2 linked regions of the Oreochromis niloticus genome follow. The protein of the gene in region 1 purifies or fractionates together with the protein of each later gene. This does not show direct contact. Links are inferred from orthologs where the notes say so. Each region holds a gene or a part of one and is shown in the gene's direction. Other genes may lie near its edges.

Region 1 (3,922 bases):
GAAGTTGTTGATGAATCACTGAGGATGTTACTCTTGAACTGCAGAAGAATTTACCAATTCTATTCATGACTGGCTTCTCAGTTCCAACTGAGGTGCAGAAGGTTTCCTGTCACTGTCAGAGTCAGGTTTGTTACCACCACGGCTCAAACTGTTCAGACAACCTTCAGGTTTGATAGATTTATCTCCACGGTTGGATTCATACCGTTTGACTTAGACAGTTTTGGTTCATCGCCAGGACTGCACTTGTTCAGATTTCCCCTTGCTGTGTTCTTAATGTGGTGTGTAGTCTTTGAGTTTCTTTGCTTTTCTGCTGTGGTTTTTAACATTTCCATAACTATACATGTGTGACCTCTGTATCTGAACATTTCATAGTACTTAACAAAATTACCTTTATCTGGGTCCAGAATGCGAAGTGGTTCTACATCTCTAACCTGACATCTCAGATTTCTTTGTCTTTTGTCATCTTGGTTACTATCAGCCTCGTCTTTCACCTTATTTTCACGTTTTGCCTTCCATAAAGGAATCCACATGTACCTGGACCCCAACAGGTGATGAAGATGCTGCAGTCATAATGTTTTTACTTGGAAAAGACGTCTTCACTGGAACAGCAGGTATTGGTAAATATTGAGTAAAATAAAAATCACAGAATCACAGTTCAGAATGATCACATATAATTGATCACATTAATCCTGACACACTGCTCTCTCTTCCACCAGCCACCTTTATATGTTAAAAGTATGATGGAGGTGATGGAGGCAGGGGTAAGGTGATAGAGCTCACAGTCCGGGTGTGTTTTCCTCCTCTCAGACTGTGCGCGCAGGTGACGATGAGTAACGGCGGCTACATGGGGACGCTTTATCAGAGTGACCCGCTGTGGTGGGTAGCTTGGTGTTTCCGATGTGACTTCGCTGTGATAGGCAGATGTCTGAACACACTTTTCCTTTACTAAACATTTCTTTTTACTGAAAAACCCGAGAAGGCAGAGAGGAGAACACTCAGGGCCAACCACGCGCCTGAGAGGACGGTGACAATGTTAATCAAATTAGCAGGTCTATTATAAAAGAAGTCCCATTTCAACTTCAGCTGATATCTATGCAATACAATACATTGGACTTAGTGTTGACTCTTATTCAAATTCTAATACATTTATGCCATTTTAAAGATTTTAAACAAGGGCTTATTTACACATGTATTTATGTATTTATGCATTCATTTATAGATACACATACACGACCTGTTCAAGGTGTACCACCACCCCGTCACCTCTCCTGCAGCAATTGGATAAGAGAATTTAAAAAAGAGAGAGATGGGTGGACATACTAAACGTGCAGGACTCCACATCTTTAGCGGGACCTTGAACGCAGCACGCATAGGTTGAGAAACCCCGTGAAAAAAGGACGCACCCATTCACAGCGCTTTGACTTCCTGCATCTGTGGCTACAGCTGATGCTTTCTAAGGGGCGGCACATGCACTTCACTAACTGTAGCCTAATGGGCTGTCGTGCATTTTAACCGAAGTTAGTTCCTTTTAGTTTTCTTTTCTAACCCGGCTGTAACTTTGGTGTGGACCCAGCACAATGGTAGGATTCATTTATGGTTCTGTACCCACGATACCGTCCAGTACGGGCAACTTTTCTGTGGGCTGGAATGAGTTTCGGAGACATCATTTTTTCTTATTGGCAACTTTTAGGGCGCCTTTGCTTTCAGGTGCTCTTTAACAGGGTCAGCACGGCTGAGTGGAAGACAGGTCTGTCACTTTACAGACTCTTCTTCACTACGTTTCTATTTCCGTAAACAAAACAGAGCCATTCCAAGATCGAGGGCACGGATTTGTTAGACAGTAAAAGCGGGGAAACACGTCCAAATGTTGTGTTACTTTGTGACTAAAGATGCGAAAGATATTTGTAGCACGAACTTCGGAAGTGATAACTCTGTAAACAGCGTTTGAAGAGCTGCAGGTCAGACTTGCCAGCCTTTGTGTGTTTACAGTATTTGTGAAATGCAGCTGCCAGTACTCAGTGTTTCAGACCGACGTCAGGAGTGTAGGCTACTTACGTGTGTTAAGAATCGAAAAATCAAGGAATTGGTAAGTTACCCAGCAAACGGCAACCTTCACGGAACGTTCCCTGAAGGCTATAGAACCCTCGGACATTCAGGGAACGGTTCCTTGTGTTATGGGTTACAGTGTCTGTATCTCTGTGATGATAGCGTCCTTGTTTGTTATTGGGCCACTGCTGACATTGGCAGGTGCTGATGTTTTTTTTGTTATGTTTTTTTTTTTTAGCTAATTTTCTTTTAGGTGACATTTTTATGAAAAAACAAACAAATACATGTTACAAAAACATTTTGGCAGGACAAACAAAAACACAACCAGCTGATCCAGCAGAGTTGGCTGGAGCATAAACCGGTAAATAAATAACTACACATAACACATGTTTGAGGAATCTGTGTGTTTGGAAGAAAAAAATAGCCAATGTCTGCAATATCCTTTTTAAAAAAAACATATAATCAAATATTGGTATTGCTATCAATCTTAAAGACACTTTATTGATTGGCCTGTAATTTTACCTGCTGATGTAATGATATTTTTTTATATTTGAGTTAGTTGAACAGTTAAAAATAAAAAAATTGTGATAGGTCATGAACTGGTTCATAGTAATCTGGGTAAAATAATGGCCTTTCTGTGGTGTAGTTTGGTGTGTATGAGTGGAGACCACAGCTAGATCTGGGCAGGCCACTGTTTAGAACGAGGAGTTAAATTCAGCTTCGTAGGCCTTGATTTTGATAGATATGGACTAAAGAAAACAAGCAATTTGACAGATTTTGACTTGGATTTCCTTTTTACACACACAGAAAAATCAATCATCAGACTTTATTGATAATGAAAAGGGCAATTAGTCTGAAATGTTAAAGTGCTCTGAACACAGGTTTAAAAGAAAGGAGCCAATAAAACAGTTCTTACATTTACACAAAGGTTCTGTTTTAACACTGGGCTGAAAGCATGAAAGAGACCTCTGCTGTTTGTACTCGAGCAATTTTGTAACTAAATTGTCATCAGTTTTAAATGATAAGAAGTGAACCTGTGTGAGTCCATTTGATTTAACAAAAATCGCGTCACAGTGGCTAGGTGGTTAACACATGTTCCAAACATGAAGGGTGATGACGGGGTTCAAGAAATTCCAATATCTGGGACAGCTGTGTCAGGAAGGGCATCAGGTGTGAAAATCTGTGTCATGTGCAAATCACAAAGGTGACCCCCTGTGAATAAGGAAGGAGTAGAAAGAAGCTTACCATGTGATGTTAAAATGCTGTCAACAGTGTAGTTTCTGTCTTTTGTTCCACAGAGGTGACTGCTGTCCTGTAAATATGGATCAGATAAAAGAAGCCAGGGTGCCGTGCTCCAGCCTCCTCACCTACCACAGAGAGCTGCTCGTGACCAGGCTGAGGAGCATTCAGTGCATCCTGGACAACCTGTTCACCTGTGGCTTCTTCTGTCAGGAGGATGTTGAGATTGTTCAGCAAACTGCCACCAAGGCTGATCAGGTAGAAAAAAGAACATCCGAGACAAAAACCGTGCTTAAAAATCTCTGAATTTAAAAACCACTCCTGCTTCCACCGAGGAGGTGATGTTTGTGATAGCGTCTGCATGAGTGCGTGTCATCATTCTGTGTGTAAACATGACAGTTTGGATTGCATGTTGGTAAAACCGTGTGGAGGGTGAGGTCATACTAACGATCTATGACACGTTAGCTATCGTCCATCAAGGTCTTCAAGGTCAACTTAGTAATTTATTGGTGGACAGCTATCATTCCTACAGGTGTTGTGTGTTTTGTGAATATATAGAAAGTACTGTATAAAATATCATGTGACATTTGACCTCTGAACTCTCCTTCGAGGTCAGTAGATTGCATACATACTACAC
Region 2 (3,922 bases), on another chromosome or scaffold:
AGCACAGGGTTTTCTAGAATCAAGCTTTGTTTCCCACCTGATCTGTGCAGGGATTGTCGCACTCCATACTCTTGCTGGCTCATCAAAAACACAAGGCAGTTTGTATGACATCCACGTAAGCAGTATCATAGTACCTGATTTGTTGAAAGCCTGTTCTTGGTTTCAGATTACAGAGGGACACAGAGTCATGTGCTTTATGGTGTGTCTCATCCAACAGCACAAAAAGGGCGCATCCTGTTTCAGTAAATCACAACAACGCACTTGTAAAAGGTGGGGCCAGGTTTCACAATGAGCTCACCCGAAACCCTGGCTGATTAGGACCCCCACCCGCTTTCACACCTTGGCTCATGTGATTAGGTAGAGGATCATCAGGGGGTCCTTTGTCCCTCTTTGGGGGGGAAACTCCCACTGGGTTTAAATCTGGGACTCCCCACCAATTGACCCTTAGAACTGAAGAAGCTTCTCGGATGAGAGGTGAAACGTCTTCAAGCAACTCAAAGAAGTCCAGACGCTTTTCTTTCCAAGCTCCTTAGACGTCAAATTTAATACAAAAAATACCTATAATTTCAATAAATTAACACTAACTGTGACTTACCAAAAGGCCCAATTATCACATGAACTCAAATTTGGAGCGATCAAAGAATAAACACCTTAAAAATCAATAAAAATAATAAAGTTTATCGATACATCTAAAAATCTGCTATCAGGATGTCTAAAATAACACTGGAAAACTAAAATCTATACTGCTACTGAAAAGAGAAAGTGCTACTTATGATCACGTGACACGAACATCGGATTTTGACATGTCTTTAGCGTCGACACATCTGTAGGAAAACCCCTGTTTTTGGGGGGGGATTCCCGCTGCTAAAAATCCCAATATTACCAATTGGGTTCATGCCGCAGGAGGCGGATCTTTGTTTCAGCGAAACTGAAACTAAAGTTGAGTTAAAGGCTCATTTATGATTTATGGTATTTTAACAGCGTGCCTCCTCAGTGTTTTTCCTAGACTTACCTCGCTGTTATCCATATTTGTACTGGGATTCTGAATGCGCTCAGAGGGCTGCTTGGAAAACGGGGTCAACTGTCTGAAGTTCTCCAAACCTACACTCGTGAACGCATCTCGTAAAAACCGGAAGCGTGTCGTCATTAGCAACAACAAACGCACCTGCTTAAATGAGCGCGGAGCTCAGCTGCGCTCTTCTTGTTGTTGTTTCGCTTTGGGTCCTGCGCGCATTTAACTGTAGTCGCTGGGTGAAGGACAGCTGTTGCCGGTCAGCGGATTCGCTGTTTATCGGCTGCTCTGTTTTTCTGCTCTCCTCTGCAACATTAATGTTAGCTTAGCATGCTAGCAGTCGGCTACGTTGTGGCATGCATGTGAATGGGAGCGCAGTTCCTCTTTACGTTTATACCAAAAGAGGTAGTTCTGCCTTTATTGGCCAAACCCGTGGGAGATAAATCCTCAGAGACTTCGCGTAAGGGATTCAGAAACTGCTATGGAGCCAACTGCGGGCTGTTTGGATATCGGCAGCCTGACCAGCACCTTGCCGGTGATCCCCCAGAATAAACTGACGGACCTGTACTACCTGAGCGGAGGGGGCTTCGGCACCGTGTTCAAGGGGAAGCACTCCGACTGGAGGACCACTGTGGCCGTCAAGTGCCTGAAGCTCGACTCTCCAGTTATAGAAAGGTACTCAGCACCGAGCAGACAACTTCACGTAACAAGGTCTAGGTCACGGAGACACATTTGAGCCATTTATAGATGAATTGCACTAGTACAGAAAAACTTTGTGCTGTTTCAGGATGATGCAATAAAGTCAGCCTGTACTTACTCCACAGTAACAGCTGCAGCACTTGACCTAATTTGAGTCAAATGTGAGGCCTTCCTGTACATTTCAATGAAATGTGTTCAGAGTGCTCGAGCAGGTTTTTCATTCCTCTGGCAGGAAAAAGGCTAAAGAGTCTGTGGCTTACGTGTCCAGTGACTTACAGCTGGAGGGCTAGTTTGCTCAGACTGGCACAAATCTGAACTGAGGGATATTTTTCTTTTTTTTAAATCCTACACTCATTCTTTATTTCTGGAGGCATGCAAATATACCACTCTGTTATAAAATTAAGTCCACCTTTTAATGTGAAATTCTTAAGCTTGTTTCACAAAACTCAGTGTATCCCAACAACAGTGAACCAGCCCAACTGGATTTCAGACAAATGTCCAGACATCATGACTCAGTTTGGTGTTTATTGGTCACCTAGTAATGGGTCATTCTACTCAGATCCACACATCTAAAACATTTCTGCCCAAATTCACAAGTGAGAATTTCTCAGATTCCTGCGTGTAACATCTTTACTCCTCTGTGTAATCAAGAGTTTCAGCAGGATTGTATTCTGCATTTTTGGTCTGCGTGTCTAAAAGGATTTTATCTGAAATATTCCTTTACCTCACTATCACAAAAGTGCTGTCAGTGTTATTTTGTTTTTGTTATTTATTCTGTGTCTGGCTGTGTTTCAGAGAGAGGAACTGCCTGCTGAAGGAGGCCGAGGTACTCCACAAAGCCAGGTTCAACTACATCATCCAGATCTTTGGGGTCTGCAATGAGCCTCGTATCTTTTGCATAGTCACGGAGTTCATGAGCAATGGATCTCTGGACCGGTTACTCCACGAGGTAACTCATCAAGTTCACTTCCTATCTCTAGGAACTCTTCTAGTCTGAGCAATACATCCTTAAACAAACCATTTAGATTGCCACTGAGTGGCACCAGTTTTCCCTGGTTTAAATAGTTACCTGTGAGAGTCGCCCAGACTACACACTGAACAAAATAAAGGTTTTATAGTTGTTGCATTTGGATTTTTGTTGCCAAAAGAGGTCAGCTGAGGGAGTTGCATTGGTCTGTTGTTTTTCTCTCTTGTGCATCACTCATCATGTGAGTGTATGACTCTGTTTCCTGTCAGTGAGACTGTAAACAAAAGCGAAAGCTCGAAGTAATTAGTATCTGATGAAACCTAAAAGAAAGTAGGGAAAGACAAGCCGAGCATTGAGGGAAGCAGACAGCTATGCACAAGGGAAATTCCCACTGGCCTGAGTGTAGTAATTTTTTCAGTCTTTATTTCAAGCTCTTGCATTGTTTTGTACTTTCACTGTAGTAAAACCCACATTTCCCACTTTTATTTATACATTTATTATGTCTTTAGCCCATCTTTGTAATCTCTGCCTTACAGAAGGACCTGTACCCCGTTCTTGCCTGGCCTTTGCGTTTGAGGATTCTGTATGAGATCGCCCTTGGGGTTAACTTCCTTCACAACATGAACCCACCCCTCGTACATCACGACCTAAAGACCCAAAACATTCTGCTGGATGGTGAATTTCATGTTAAGGTATGCGTCAAGTATGAGGTGCGCGCAGAACAGGAAAATCTATTACATCACCTTACCCATGTCAGTGTGTTTGTTGGAGCTGTAACAAAGGTTACAGCTGCTTAGGTGGTCACAGTTATAGTCACATGTATTGTGTATGTTACCAGAGTAACTGAGACATAGGGTATGTGCTGCTTATCCACTATGTACTGCTGATCTACTACTCTTTATGAAATGTACCATTTTTTTTATTAGCATAAAAAGTATATATAAAGGTTGTTACCAATTGTTACCAGGTTGTTCAAACTGATTTCTTTTTCTTTCATGGCCTAATTAAAGTGGACATATTATACTCATATCAACTCCATATTTAAGTTTTTTGACCGTAAAACAAACTCCTCTCCTTTAAACTTTCTTCTGATTGGCTGCCCCTCACAAACAGAAGGTTTAAACAACAGGTGGGTGGTGCTAGTCTGCTGACACTCAACGCTGTGTGCCTAATATGAGCACATAAAGATAATACAGTATCAGTGAGAGGGGATAGAGATAACAGTAGAAGGGGGGGGAAAAACC

What was found.
Region 2: the proteins of nod1 (region 1) and ripk2 purify together in Homo sapiens (affinity purification with western blotting; 4 studies listed by BioGRID and IntAct, with this or other methods). This does not show direct contact. The link is inferred for Oreochromis niloticus from reciprocal best matches to the Homo sapiens genes NOD1 and RIPK2.

Annotation. Positions count from the first base shown.
Region 1 is NC_031976.2:2,124,617-2,128,538, forward strand, and holds the start of nod1 (nucleotide-binding oligomerization domain-containing protein 1), read left to right. Parts: upstream 1-1,378; 5' UTR 1,379-1,517; exon of another isoform or gene 1,518-1,580; intron 1,581-1,592; exon of another isoform or gene 1,593-1,747; intron 1,748-1,763; exon of another isoform or gene 1,764-2,086; intron 2,087-3,344; 5' UTR 3,345-3,366; coding exon 3,367-3,543; intron 3,544-3,922. UniProt on the Homo sapiens protein: Pattern recognition receptor (PRR) that detects bacterial peptidoglycan fragments and other danger signals and thus participates in both innate and adaptive immune responses.
Region 2 is NC_031982.2:10,260,205-10,264,126, reverse strand, and holds the start of ripk2 (receptor-interacting serine/threonine-protein kinase 2), read left to right. Parts: upstream 1-1,161; 5' UTR 1,162-1,493; coding exon 1,494-1,687; intron 1,688-1,829; coding exon of another isoform or gene 1,830-1,891; exon of another isoform or gene 1,892-2,497; intron 2,498-2,506; coding exon 2,507-2,660; intron 2,661-3,214; coding exon 3,215-3,370; intron 3,371-3,922. Other genes in the region: sorting nexin-16, read right to left, coding at 1,830-1,891.